Arabidopsis thaliana: one gene and its partner. The protein of the gene in region 1 interacts with the protein of each later gene in a pairwise test. Each region holds a gene or a part of one and is shown on either strand. Other genes may lie near its edges.

Region 1 (8,340 bases):
GCAAATTACAGCAAAACCACAGACCTTTGGTGCAACCCACCACAGAAACACTTTGATCTCTCCTTAGCAATGTTTCTCAAGATTGCCAAGTACAAAGCCGGGGTTGTCCCAGTTAGATACAGACGTATTCCTTGTAGCAAAACTGGTGGTGTCAAGTTTGAAACCAAAGGAAACCCTTATTTCTTAATGGTCTTGATATACAACGTAGGAGGAGCTGGAGATATTAAGTACGTGCAAGTTAAAGGAAACAAGACCGGGTGGATAACAATGAAAAAGAACTGGGGGCAGAATTGGACCACTATTACAGTATTGACCGGCCAAGGTTTATCGTTCAGGGTTACAACGAGTGATGGGATTACAAAAGATTTTTGGAATGTGATGCCAAAAAATTGGGGGTTTGGACAGACTTTTGATGGTAGGATTAACTTTTAGGAGAATGATTTGAGTTTTATTATATGTGTCTTACACATAAGTTATGTAATACGTACTTGCAATAATTAAAAATAAAGAAGATACTATTTATCCATAAAAAATTAGGATGTATCCACAATCTATATTTATACTATTATCTTTCACTTCTACATGTAACCTCTTTTAAAAATCGTATGTTGTTTGTGGTTTGGAGGCATAGGAAAATTGGTCGCCTCCAAGGGGAACCGGCTGACTTTTGATGGAAAGATCAACTTTTAGGAGAACTATTTGAGTTTTTTTACTTTTTAGGATAAGAAGGAATACAATTAAAATGAATTAACAGATGTATTGGGTTCAATAACTAAAAATAAATGAGATATGCTTTATTATGTGTAGTTGATGGAGTGAAGTTTTTTACTTCTATGTTTCCATCTTTTTATTTTTTTGCCATGGAATCAATTTACAGATTTGTTTTGTGAACCTAATTGTTTAAAATAAAACATTTTTAGATTTTTTTCTATGTATAACATGATTTAAAATTTTGAAATCTCATACAAATTATTTAAAATAGTGAATAATATTTGGCTAAAACACAAATATAAAATAAAACTAAATAGTATAGAACGAACATTAGACTAACAAAGGATCGAGTTAAACCGATCCGATCCCAAAAAAAACTATACCCTATGCGATATAACATTGGCAACCCAAGCAAGCAAGGTAAATCATAGTAGTGATGTTGACGGTAAAGGTGGTGGTGGTGGTGACGGTAATGATGGTGGTGATGATGACAATGGTAGTGATGGCACTAACGGTGAAGTTGACGGTAGTGGTTGCGGCGATACAGTTGTGGCAGTGATAAATGATGATGGTGAGTTGATGGTAGATGTGATGGTGTAAAAATATATGGGATAGTTATAATAAGAGTTGGAGTTGCAGAAAAACAAAATTAAGAATTGGAAGAGGAAGAGCGTGTGTTATGTGTATTGCCTTGTACGTAGTTTTTGAGGTGTTAGTTTCCAAATTATTAAATTTATTTAGATTATAGTTGCAAATTTCCCTAATCTTAATTCGAGTTTATACTTGTAATGTGTAATGGATTTCTAATAGAGTTCCTTTCTTTTGTACTTAGTCCATTGGACTTTTAAAGAAATGAAATGGCCTACAAGAAAAGAAAAGAACATTGCTAACATTTATAATTGGATATGTCATTAAATTAGAAGTCAAAAGGATTAAAGGAACATGAGACTTCTTTACTCATTCTACATTTCATACCTTGTTTTACAACTTATTATCATCATACCATGAATTCAAAATATATACAGGTGATGGCAATATCATCACTTCTTAGGATTGCAGATTTTGACTACATAAAATTCAATACAATTACTAATTTATCATGTTCACTAAGTAAATATATGCACATTTGGAATGATTTAAAAAAATATTACAAATAACCAGTAAAAAGAAATGGGACTATCACTTCACATTTCATGACTTTTAACTACCTATAAACATCTTACCATTTTATCCAAAATACAAAGATGGCTATGTTATCAATTCAGATTGACTACAAAAAATTTCAATACATTTGGAAAGATTTTAAAAGATATGACTATAGTCAAATATATGTCTACTTATATATACCCACTCATGTTGTTCATTTATTCCCATCAATCAAAGCTAAAAGTAAAACAAAATCATCAAAGAGGGATAATAATCATGAAATTGCTAGAAAAAATGACATATGTAGAATGTTTTATGATAATAATGGCGACATGGTTCATGTTCATAAGTTACAGTCATGGAGCCAATGTAGCTGCAGCACCTGGAACCAACGGACTTGATACTGCTTGGTATGATGCGCGAGCCGCATATTATGGTGATATCCATGGTGGAGGCACTGAACGTAAGTTAAAATTACTAATATGTTGTCGAATCTAATTATTACATTGATGTTTTGTTTCAAAATGTATATAAGCTGCGATTGTTTTAAATATAAATAAACAATTAAATCCATAATAGTTACATACTAACTTTTTATTATTATACATTCAGTAGAAGGAGCTTGTGGATACGGTGATCTAAACAAACATGGATATGGTCTAGCCACAGCAGCATTGAGCACGGCGCTCTTCAACAGCGGGGCCTCATGTGGGGCTTGTTACGAGATCATGTGCTCTCCTAATCCACAAGGATGTTTGTCCGGATCTATCAAGATCACAGCAACAGATTTATGTCCACCAGGATCCGCTTGGTGCTACCTACCAAATAAACACTTTGATCTCTCCTTACCAATGTTCATCAAGATCGCTCAGGTCAAAGCCAAGATGGTCCCGGTTAGATACAGACGTGTTCCCTGTGCGAAAACCGGTGGTGTCAAGTTTGAAGTTAAAGGAAACCCTAATATCTTAACGATCTTGCCGTACAATGTAGGAGGAGCAGGAGATATTATAGCCGTGTCTGCTAAGGGAAGCAAAACCGCGTGGGTAGTAATGAGCAGATATTGGGGACAAAATTGGACTACTAATGTTAATCTAACCGGTCAAAGTGTATCATTAAGGGTTACAACGAGTGATGGGATTACAAAGGATTTTACTGATGTGATGCCAGCAAGTTGGGGATTTGGGCAGACTTTTGATGGAAAGACTAACTTTTAAGAAAAATGATATGAATTTTTTTTAGTTTTGGCTTACAAGTTACAACTAAGAGAGATGTATTGGTTGCAATAATTAAAAATAAATGAAATATTGTTTATGATACTTTTAGTTCTTGGCTTCCTGCATTTGGTTTCAATCTAAAGATTTAACCAGAACTAGAGATGGACCATGAAACTACATGAACCGAACCAACCCAAAACAGTTGAACAAAATTGAACCGATATTTGTTTATAAACTGTTTGGTTATTATGTTAACCAAATATTCTAAATTTCCTTAAATATTACTTATAAATTATATATCTTCTGAAAATAGATATGACCATACTAAATAATAAATAATAAATAAATAACTGTTTGATTATTTTCTATAAATTTTTATTATCAAAAGTTGAACCGTGCCAACCGAAATTGCATCAAACCGATCTGAAACCATACCGAAGTACAAATGGTTTTACATGTGTTATCACTTTTTACAAAACCGAAAAAAATTGAGAAAAGAAAAACAAAATTCGATCTGAATCCAAACCCCTAAACCGGAATGTCCACCCCTAACCAAAACATTGAAAAGAAGTGCAAAAATGTGTGTTCTGTTTTGAGTTCTTTTGACATGGCGTTTCAATATCTAGTTTGGTTGAAATTATTCAGTTTCTTATATCCAATTTTCGTTATAAACAAAAAAAAAATCGAATTACAGCAAATGATCAAACAAAAGCTATATAGTTAAAGAGAGAAAAAACAAATCAAACTCGTATTAAAGAAAATGACCAAAAGTTGTGAAAGATTAGTTCTTGAGCAAAATGATGATTATGTATAGAGTTCCAAACCTGAGAAAGAGCTTTAATAGGATCATAAGCTTGTTTTCACTTCCAATCAAGCATATCTAGAAGCCACAAAACCTCTTCTTTAGTGTCAGCAACATCATTGAAATCCAACTGAATCCCGAAAACATCGAGTAACCCATCATCATTCATATCCTCAACATCCATAAACAGCAAAGAGATCCAAGCTCGTATACCGGAGATAAAAGGATAACAAGGAGACAAGTCAAGATACTCAAACGCAAGCGCTCTATACGATGACCGGTCTATATAATCGAACACAGACCGGTTGATTATCCGAGCGACCTTATCAGAATCATTCCTCGCCACAAGAACAGAGACACTAACAGACTGGTTTAACGGAATAGTGAACCTAGGCTCAGCAGGAACAACCATCTTGTAATCAGGTCTACCAAGATGAGTTCTAAGAACATTACTGATCCCTAACGGTAACGTTTCGATACCATTTTCCAACGCAACACCGGGTATTAACCCCGAGAACACGAGCCTCTCTTCCGACCAAATATCGATGAAAAACTCCAAGTTTTCGAACGACAATCGCGGAGGAGGAAGCGCGCGGTTTAACCGCCGCTTACTAAACGTTTGATACATTTTGTAGTATGTTTCAGTAGGAGGTTTGTGCCGTTTGCAAACCGATGGCCATTTCTTTGCACATTGACATTTCCAGTAGAAATCGTCTCTTGCGATATCTCTCCATTGTTTGCAAACACCCATACATGACGCGAGATCTTCGCCTTCTAGCAATGGAAACACATTCTTCAATACTTCTTCACTAAACATTCTTCAACAACTACTGAAATCAAAATTGAGATCACAAATGCTTCAATTTCAATAACCGATCAATTACGATAACCGGAACATCGAAAAATAACAAATCAAAACTGAAATCGATCAAATTCTATTGAATTCGAGACGATTAAGATAATTCTACAGGGAAAATTCGAAAGATCGAAAGAGGAAACGATCATCGTCGTCAAAACTAATCAGAACGATGAAGATTATGTAGATCGACGATATGGGAAATGAACTAACCTTTGAAACATGATCTGGAGTTGAAATCTGGATCGGATTAAGTATGATTTTACGAGGAAATTGAAGAAAGTTTCATTTGATCGATTAGGATTTTGGTAGGCTGTAAAAAAAGAAACATTATGAAAACTAAAAAGATTTAATCTGATAAATGAAATAAGAAATTAAATTGGTAATGTAAAAAGGCCTTAGCCCATATAGAAGCCCAATTAAATATTTAGTCGAGTAACACGAAAATAATTTAGACACTAAAAAACAAAATGGAGACCTCAACGGCCCGGCCCAAAGCCCATTAGACTATGAGCCTTCTCTCATCAATTTAAGAAGCTTAATGCTAGTTGACTTTGCTAAAATATATAGATTTGCTTCATAAAAAGTGGATGAATTTTCTTATAAGAAGCCATTATCAAAAAGAAACAAAAATTATATTCGAATCTTAGTTTCTTGAGGTAAATAAGAAAAGAAATTTTTTTGATGTTAATGAAATATTTCAAAACATCTTTAGGGATGAACCCAAGAATTGTTCGCAAAATTAACCCTAATCTTCCACAAAACTTATTTTAATATTACACACTTTTAATTTAAGAATGACGTTATCACTTAACTCAAATATGTTATTGATTATGCCGTATTTTTTTGTTTGGAGTATGACAATTTGTGAGGACATATATATTGAGTTGAATAAAACGAAATGATAAACGTGAAAGAGGACAAATAAGTGACGAGCATGGGAGACAAGAGCAAAGAGGTCAGATTGTGGGATCAGTAGTCACACTCTTCACTGACTTGTGTTTTAGTATCAGGATACCTTATTTCCCCACACACAAAAAAACTCTATACTTCTTTTTTCCTTCTCTTTGTGTTTTTTCTTTTTATAAGAAAACATAGGGAATAAAGCGAAAGGAACAAGAAAACTACATCACATGGAAAGTAGATATTTTCAGGGAAAAAAAAGTGGATGATTTGACGTGAATTTTGAGTCTTTTCTTCATACGATACTTCTTAATATATAGAAAAGAAAATGATTTTTATAGATAGGCAACACTTACATACGATACTTCTTAATATATAGAAAAGAAAATGATTTTTATAGATAGGCAACACTTACATGTAATTAAACTATATGGGGTTTATGTTTTATTAAATTGTAATTTGAAAATCTGATCATTAATGACTGGTCTATAGTGGTAGGGTGTAGGGTGTAGTGTAGTACCAGTAGTTAGCTCAACTTTTAGGGGAAAAAGATTGCACTCTTCTGATTTTGTGTATTTGAGTTTGATTCCTACTGTATGATGGTTCCTTGTTCCGGTTATAAAAACAATTTGGTATTTGAATACTCGATACTAATTAAACAAAAATATCTGCAGTCCAAAAATGAGATTTTTTATTCACTAAGAATTATGGTGATTGTTAGTTTAAATGTCATTTATTAAAACTAGAATTTGTTCACACAATAATTTACGTAATTATGTGTGATTTTTTTTTTTTTTTTTTTTTGAGTAAGAGTATGTTGGTTGGAAAAATAAAAAAGATAAAAGAAATATTTATTATTTTTAAGTAATACAAGATGCAATAATTTGTTTAAAGTGTTGTTTTTTATTTACTTAAAAACTATTGTGGCTCATCAGCCCAAAAAAATGTGCAAAAAAGTAATACAAAATTAAAGAACGTAAGAATGTAGAAAACAATATTAAATATAATAGACTACACTGAATTTCTCTTTGAAATAGTCGCATGCCCCTCAATTTAATCTATGTTAAAGCTTCAAGTTAAAACTTTGTTTGCTTGGATTCATGGTCGATTATTCTGATATCTAAAGCTAGAAGATACTTGAAAAAAAAAAAATCGAATGTATACTGAAATCGAATAGGTTGTGGTCTTTTCTTATTGACTTTGTTAATTACTGAAATGTAATTTGGTTTATTAGTTGATGTTATCAGGTTTTACTAATAATATAGATATTTATGGATAGGATAATGATAGTTCTAATTATAAGACAATCTATCATTACTAAACAAACTCATGTATGTACCTCATTCATAACATCTATGTGGTCGACTACAAAAAAATGAAAATGTGCCTTAAACATTCTAATTAATTAATTTGGATTTTTTGGATTTTTTTCAAATACATGGAAACATATATAACAAAACCAATCAGTTTGACCTTAAAGTAGATAAGTTTTGTTAATTTAATATCCTCTGTTCTTTTTATTTGATGTTTTAGGAAACATGTTTGTTTGAACATAGAAAAATTTCCAGGTTCACACCGCAGTCCAGGAAATAAAAACAAAGAGCTGAGATTTGGAGAAGTTTCAATCCTATCGAATGCTTACTCTGTTTTAAGTGAGAAAGGAGACTATGACGATGTTATTTCAACGACAGATACGAGAGATGTTGGTGTAATCTCATCAAAAGAAGTTTCAATAGGGACACAGCCGGCCACATCAGAGATGTTGTTGCGCGAGTCTTTGCCCCGTGTATCTAAAACAGCTCACAAAGTGATATCAGTTCCTTCTACTCAATCAACTAGGATTCCTCCTAAAGATCAGAGTAAAAGAAACAAATCCAAAAATCGTTAATGTCTGGGTTCTTCTGGAATGTGCGAGGTCTTAACAAATCATCAAAACATTCTGTTATTAAGAAGTGGATAGAGGAAAATAACTTTCAGTTTGGTTGCTTGGTTGAAACGAGAGTAAAGGAGAGTAAGGTTTCGCAGCTTGTTGGTAAGCTTTTCAAGGATTGGTCGATTCTCACTAACTATGAGCACAATAGACGGGGTCGTATTTGGGTTCTATGGCGTAAGAATGTGCGACTTAGTCCTATTTATAAGAGTTGTCAATTGCTGACTTGTTCGGTGAAGCTAGAAGATCGACAGGATGAATTTTTCTGTTCCTTTGTCTATGCTTCAAACTACGTGGAGGAGCGAAAAGTTTTATGGTCAGAACTGAAGGATCATTATGATTCTCCCATCATCAGACACAAACCGTGGACTCTGTTAGGTGATTTTAATGAGACGCTTGATATAGCAGAACACTCACAATCTTTTGTTCACCCTATGGTAACTCCAGGAATGCGAGATTTCCAACAGGTGATCAATTATTGCTCTTTAACAGATATGGCAGCTCAGGGGCCACTATTCACATGGTGTAACAAGAGGGAGCATGGTCTCATCATGAAGAAACTCGACAGGGTATTGATTAATGATTGTTGGAACCAAACTTTTTCTCAATCTTATAGTGTTTTTGAAGCAGGAGGTTGCTCAGATCATTTGAGATGTAGAATCAGTTTAAATAGTGAAGCAGGCAACAAAGTCCAGGGCCTAAAGCCTTTCAAGTTTGTCAATGCTCTCACTGATATGGAGGATTTTAAACCGATGGTGAGCACTTACTGGAAGGATAC
Region 2 (7,464 bases), on another chromosome or scaffold:
TCTAGATCACCATTAGTGCAAGACCCTAAACCATGGTTTGTATATTCCAGAAAGAAGACGAGGATAATCAAAAATTTGGAAACTATCTAGGCTTTCTAAATTCTTTTTCTCAAGAGTCCTTTGCTTTTCATAGAATCACATGTTAAAGCAGAAAATTACTCTGAACTCAATTACCTCTGTTTGGTTGTCTCTTGTTCACACTGTAACTGCCAACATAACCTGGAGATGAACTTCTAGCTGAAACATCTGAAGAAGGAACCCCTCCTCCAATCCCATAGCTAAAAGGAGCAGGCCCTTCTGTCTCAGGAGTTGGTGATCTCCATGTAGGGTCACTATAAACTGCACCATTCCCGTAAAACTCTGCAAGTCCTGCTGTATCATAACCCGTGTTGTTGGTTGCTGAGGCAGAAGAGAATGAAGAGGATGGTGCTGCCTTGTTAGCCCCTGGGTTTCTTGCTGCATAACCACCTGTTCCCAACCCAAAACCAGATTCACCGTTTCCTCCATAACCAAACTTCACATTCTCGTTACTCACAGCATTGTTTCCTCCTCCAGGAGCACCCCAATTGACTCCTGAATTTCCAAATGGACCACTAAGTGTGTTGTTCCCACTTGATGATCCTCCCATATATGTATTGGAGTTTGAGTTTGTATTATTGTTGTTATAGTTAAGACCACCATTGTTTCCCCATAAGTTCCGTGTAACCGAACTGAAGAAGGATGAGTTTCCTCCTCCGTTGCCCCCTTCATAGCCAACCGCAGGACCAAACCTGTTTGTGTTACCAATGTAGTACGGGCTCATTCCTCGGCCATAGTCAACATTTCCATTGTAATTTGTACCTCCCGTGAACCCTGTGGGCAATCCCTGATCAAAGTTCACATTCATCCCGTATCCAGAACTGTAATTTGCAAACCCGCTTCTTCCAGCACCAACCGGACTGAACCGACCATCCATCCTAAGTCCGTAGCCTCCAACTGCAGCGGGATTAAACCCTTGAGCATACCCATTAAGGAGGTTATTGACCCTATTAACTCCATAGCTGTAACCTGCACCAAGAGGACTGCGACTTGGACCTGGAGATAACTCCTTTGGAACAGCTCGCTTAACCTCAACCATTTTACCATTTAGTTCATGGAATGTCTTGAGCAATACCTTTTCAACCGCCTCCTCGGAATCGTAGGTTATAAACCCGAAACCTCTAGGCCTTTGTGTGTTGTGATCATACATGACAACCACATCCGTAGTTGTACCAAACTGCTCAAAATACGTCTTGAAATCACTCTCTGTAACCGAAGAAGGTAATCCTCCAACAAATATCTTCCTTGTGCGACCTGGACCACCGGGAGAACCTTGGATGCTACTGCTGTTGCTTCTATTTACCATGTTTTGGTCATCTCTGGGAACAGCTTTCTTGGCTTCAACCTGCGGAAGATCAAACAACTTGAAAAATGAAAAACTAAGCTCATATAACTAAAGATCACTCATTTCTTCTCAAAAATCCAATCAAAGCACAAAAATGATTAATCGGAACCAAATGAGAACAAACTGTAACTCTTGAAGGCTTGATTGCATAAGGAAGCTTCGAAAACAAGTTACATTGTACAAAAACGAAAGGCAGAGAACAGTGAACATACCAATCTGCCATCAATATTATGTTTTTCGGTGATAACAATCTCAGCAACAGCAGGATCAGCAAAAACAACAAAACCGAAACCACGAGCACGACCAGTGGTACGATCTTTCAAGATGACAGCTTCGATCACTTCTCCAAAACTGCTGAAATACTCCTTGAGACGTTCCTCATTGGTGTCCCAAGATATCCCACCGATGAAAAGCTTTCCATTATCCGATTGCATTTTGCTCTGCACACACACACAAAGGAATCGGATCAAAGTTAATTAGCTTTTGCTTGAATCAGAGATGTCAATGGATTATCAAAATCTGATCAAAAGGAAACATCTTTACAAAGACAAAAACGTAAAATCAAATTCAGATTGAATCTAGAAAACAACAGATCCGAGAATCTGCCAGGAGAGTTTGATCGGGAAAACATAAAACGGATTTAGCAAAAAAAAAAACCAATCAGGGGAAATCTGAGATCAGAAGAAGAAGAATAAAAAAAAACCCACCAAGAAGAATAAAACCCAGATGCCGAATCTCGTAGAGAAAAGAGTTAAGATCTGAGGATAGGCACGATTTGAATAGATGGCATAATTTTAACCTGCCCCTTCCCCAGAAGAAGAAGAAGAAGAAAATGAAAGAAGATTGGAATCAATCAGAGAGAAAAGTAGAGGAAGAATTATTATTAATACAGTTTTTGTTCAATCCGATTCAAACCGATTTAACCCAATTTCAATGGCGTCAATAAAAACATACTCACGACGCGCAGTAACGCGCTCTAGAGATATAGAAAAAGAGAGAAAGAAAGAAGTTTTGGTAGAGAGATAGAAAGACAAAGGCTTTTTGGGTGTGCAAGAAGAAGAAGATATGTCTGTATTTATATATTTATACTCATTATTACATAATTGGTTTGTTTCTTTTTTTTCTCTTTTTCAATACTAAACTTTTTATACGTTTTCCCTTCCATTTATTACACGGAAATTTTACTTTTGTCATAACAAAAAAATATTAATATATTGGAATGTTTAGATGTTTCTTTTTGCGGAATTTTTAGTTTGTATCTTAAAGAAGAATTATATAGAAAGTAATTACTAATTAGGATGGTGCCACTAAAAGTTTTTTAAAAAGAAGTAATTAAAAATAAATTTGCAATTAAGGATGTCTTATTCACAGAATTTTTAAAGCAAAACTGAGAGTTGTTGTTGTTTGGATAATTTAGGCTTGTTGTGTACGTTTGGTTTAGTTTTAACCTACTGGTGTACATTTTATCTATGTTTGAATTTTGATCAAATTGATTTAACTTGTAATAACCTGGCGATGAAAATGTATTCTAGTTCGGTTTTAGGAATACAACGAGCTACGATTGTACATTAATTGAGGTGATCGGAAAAAACATTTCAACAATTTGTAGCTTTAGACATGAAGGTGTGCAACTACATACGAAAAATTAAATAAAAATTGCAACTACGAAAAAGCAATGAACGTGTATGTATTGGAACACTTGAAGAAGGTTGTGAACATGTTCATCTCAGGGCCAAAAAAAGCCTCAGGGTTTTGGGTTTAAGCCCACATTCAAAAGCACACACACAAAATGATGGGTTTGTAGGATAAAAACCCAAGTGAGAAAGTTGTTTTCTCGAATATTACGAATTTACGACTTTCTAATTTAAACAATAATTCTAAAAAACATTAGTGGAATATATGACCAAAAACCAGTACCATTTTATGTGGATATATTTTTTAAAAATATTTATCATTCTCTTAAATAATGTGTTTGCAAAGCCTAAACACACATGTTTAAAAATTTCATATGATCTATACATTAAGGAAATTAATTAAAAAAAATAAGCCAATAGAAAATCAGTTTTTTTTTTTTTAAATTCCGTTTATAGTGTTCCGCTTTATGAAAAGAGAGAGGTAAAATAAAAAGATTCGCTCTAAAAAACTGTTTCCCTCCAAAGATGTAATTTTTTTGAAAAAACCTCCCATTCAAAATTTCAAACCCTTATCTTTGACAAATCTTCTCCAGCAATTTTCTTCCTTGTTCAACTTCTGGATGTCCGCGTATATATATCTTCAACAAGCTATTCACCATCGCTACCTAAAACCACAAGCAAATTGAACCCTTCTCCCTTTTTTCATCTACAAACCATCTTTTCTTCTCAAGTCTCTGCCATGGCGACTCTCAAAGCTTCCTTTTTGATCAAAACCCTCGACAGTGACGTCACCGGAGATTTTCTCTCCGATCTGGAACGTCGTGGGTCAGGTGCTGTTCATGTTATCATGGGTCCTATGTTTTCTGGGAAATCGACCTCTCTCCTTCGCCGAATCAAGTCAGAGATCAGCGACGGAAGGTACAGTTTATTTTCTATCTCCGTAGATTTTAATTGTTAGATCTATCTCCGTAAATTTCTTAATTTCGTGTTTTGGTTAAGCAGAAGTGTTGCGATGCTGAAATCGAGTAAGGATACGAGATACGCAAAAGATTCGGTGGTGACACATGATGGAATTGGATTCCCTTGCTGGGCTCTTCCAGATCTCATGTCATTTCCTGAGAAATTCGGACTAGATGCTTATAACAAGGTAATAAATTCGATGCTCTATTTGGTGTTTCGGGTCTTAATTGTGAAGGATCTGTATTGAATTTGTGTTTTTCTCTTAAAATGATTGGCAGCTTGATGTGATTGGTATTGATGAGGCTCAGTTCTTTGGAGATCTTTATGAGTTTTGCTGCAAAGTCGCTGATGATGATGGTAAAATTGTGATCGTTGCTGGCCTAGATGGTGACTATTTAAGGTGCTTCATCCTAGTACCAAAGCTGTGATTTTGATATTTTACTTCAATGTTTAACAATTTTGTTGACTGTAAAATGTGGAATTGATCTCTCTATGTGCAGGAGGAGTTTTGGGGCTGTACTTGACATTATACCAATAGCTGATTCTGTGACTAAGCTAACTGCAAGGTGTGAGGTCTGTGGACATAAAGCTTTCTTCACTTTAAGAAAGAATTGTGACACCAGAACTGAGCTTATTGGTGGAGCTGATGTCTATATGCCTGTTTGTCGCAAGCATTACATCACTAATCATATTGTTATTAAAGCCTCTAAGAAAGTCTTGGAAGATTCTGACAAGGCTAGAGCTGAATCCTGTGTTGCTGCTACAATCTAACTATAAATGATATGGAACAAGCAACATATGTTATGGTGAAGTTTTCTTTCTTTTTTGGTTGTTTGGTTTCTTTACTGGTCTGGTTTATCCTTAATGTTGTCTTTGAAATACACTTGTGATGTTCATTGTATATAAATATAAGTTTGATGCTTTCTCTACAGCCTCTGGTCCATGTTTCATACTCTTCATTTTCCAAGACCACTTAGTTTTTCGAGTTGGACTTACAATGTTGCGTATGAGAGGTTGTTTTGTGACAGAAGCATTTCTTTCATCAGATCCTGGATTTGATACTTGTGGATTCGCATTCTTCCATTGTTGCATTGCTCTGGTTTAAGAAGCACTGTTTTCTTGATCCACCTTCATCACTGAAAGGTATCTCTAGGGAGCAAACTATTGATGCTAGAGGTGTCTCCACTGTTGTGAATCTCGAATCACTCTTTGGACCGAGACCATAGATCTTGACATCTACGTCTACTTCATGCTGCTGTGAATATTGAAACTCTTGTTGCAGTCGGTTCTGTCTCCAGATCTTAATGTAAGGATACATAAACATTAATGATTAATTAACATCCAAGCAATTCCAAACTCTGAGGGAAACCTGAGATTGAAGAGAGAACAATCTCGAGGATGACACCTCTTAAAAAGCATGAATCACACAAAAGGAACTAAAATATAGAGAATCTACAGATAAAGCTTAAACACCAAATTTTACACTTGAGGATATTGTGCTGATGTTGTAATATTGAAGTGCGTAGCCTGGGAGCTAAGAGAAAAGAGAAGATGTGGAAGTCAAAATTACAAATGCGAAGATAGATAGCATTCCATTTAAAATCTGTCATATCAGTAATTGGTACAAGAAGAAGTAACTTTGTTGCCTATGTGAGCACCAAAGCATTCAACAACAGATAACCATAACATTGGCACCATCAAGGCGACCTTGTCTCTGAGCTGGTCCCATCTTTGCCAAATCTTGAAATACTTCTCACACTCTTAGGAGTCACAGCACCAGGACTTGCTCCACGAGGACTTGCTCCACGATAACTTGCACGAAGGCTCTCATCAACAGTAGAAGATGATTTAGCTATTGCCTTTCTGAAAAACTTCTGAGCAGCGGGTGAAAGAGTCCTAACATTCGGACTTGCACTTCCACTTCGATGAGGAGATGGCAACGGAGGTTTCTTAAACATACTATTCGATCTCTCTCTAAGTTTTCGCGATGCATCCCTTGATAATGAATGTGCCCTTACATCTCTAGGAGGTGCAGATGGAATGTTATAGTGCGGTCCATCAGCACTACCACCAATATCAATAGGTGTATCCTCAAGATCTAATCGCATTGGTGTCCCATCAATCTCACCCCATGTTATAAAGGGTGATTCATCAAGACCTGGAGCAGGAGAAGGCGTTCTAACAAAACTATACCCATTGTCTGCCCTCTTATCTGATTCCACATAGAAAGGATTCGGTGTTTTCCTTAGATCATCAAGATCATACCTTTTAGACTTGTCTCTGTCCCTACCTGAGATATGCATCGGGGAAGAACCTGCGATTGGAGTGTAGAGAATCTCAACAGAACCATCTTCTCTTGGCCTAGAATCCATAGTCTTACCATGAAAACGAGTGTTCCCTTTAACTATCTCCTTAGTCAATCCAAGTAATCTCACTGCCCTTTCCGCCTCAGTTAAAGGCGCCTCACCCCGATCAGCTGGATGGTACATCAGAAGATTCTTCGCCGTATATTTCCATCCTTCTAAAGTACTCGGTGGCTGATCAGATGTACCATACCCATCTGTAATCCTATCTCTCTTCACATCCTCAATAGATTTACCATCCTCCTTTTCACCTTCAAGGAGAAAGCCATACTTCTCCTTCTTCTTCCTATTTACCTTCTCAAGAATCTTCGAAAAGCTCTCGTTATCCTCACTAGTATATCTCCTAAAGAACTCATCTAGGGACAAATTAAGATCTATATCTTCATCTCCATCACCAGCATCTACTTCAACACCATGAAATTCTCTACCAGATACTCCAGGAGTTCTAGGGGTTTTACCATCAAATTCATCTAAAGGAGTGAAATTTCTCAGAAAAGTAGATCCAGGAGTTTGAGTTTTACCCTCGGTATCTCCAACATGATGATTCGCCTTCTTTCCACGCCTCTCGATAATCTTCAACTGGGCATCTCGGATTTGAATCGGGTCACGGGTTTTCACCGCTTGGATCCAATCGAGCCGATCCCTAAGCTTAGTTATATCTGGAAAGTAATCACGCTCGATGATCTTCTCGATTGCTTCAACATAAGCGTCCTCATCGAGAACTCTCATCCGTTTTCTAGGGTTTCGAGGAATGATCTCCGAGGAAGAACTGCGAGGCGTTGATCGGAGGGTATCATCGGAATAAGAAGACGGCGATGGAGAAGAAATCTGACGAGGAGAATGACCAGGTGAAAGAAACATCTTGAATCAGAAGAACGCGAATTCAAAAAGCACGAATGGAATTTGGAGCCGATGAATTTTGTCGAGAATTCGGACACTAGGGTTTGTTTTTGGGTAGACAGGAAAACAAAACGATGGTCGATGATTGCATCGGCGATGATATAATATTCCTTATCAATCCGATTATACGCGTTTTGTTTCCAGAATATTACATTATTTCCCCAAACGTTTTGATTCCTTTTGC

What was found.
Region 2: the proteins of AT5G39250 (region 1) and TK1a interact in a two-hybrid assay, tested with the Arabidopsis thaliana proteins (one large-scale study listed by BioGRID).

The regions. Positions count from the first base shown.
Region 1 is NC_003076.8:15,721,210-15,729,549, reverse strand, and holds AT5G39250 (F-box family protein), read right to left. Parts: upstream 5,074-8,340; 5' UTR 4,943-5,073; intron 4,704-4,942; 5' UTR 4,691-4,703; coding exon 3,932-4,690; 3' UTR 3,896-3,931; exon of another isoform or gene 3,072-3,895; coding exon of another isoform or gene 2,470-3,071; 3' UTR 2,344-2,469; downstream 1-2,343. Other genes in the region: EXPA22 (expansin A22), read left to right, coding at 1-432; EXPA21 (expansin A21), read left to right, coding at 2,134-2,320, 2,470-3,071.
Region 2 is NC_003074.8:2,487,268-2,494,731, reverse strand, and holds TK1a (Thymidine kinase), read left to right. Parts: upstream 1-3,551; 5' UTR 3,552-3,796; coding exon 3,797-3,975; intron 3,976-4,059; coding exon 4,060-4,204; intron 4,205-4,295; coding exon 4,296-4,417; intron 4,418-4,517; coding exon 4,518-4,788; 3' UTR 4,789-5,345; downstream 5,346-7,464. Other genes in the region: AT3G07810 (RNA-binding (RRM/RBD/RNP motifs) family protein), read right to left, coding at 175-1,423, 1,636-1,857; AT3G07790 (DGCR14-like protein), read right to left, coding at 5,715-7,241. UniProt on the Arabidopsis thaliana protein: Part of the salvage pathway for purine and pyrimidine deoxyribonucleotide synthesis. Phosphorylates preferentially purines over pyrimidines.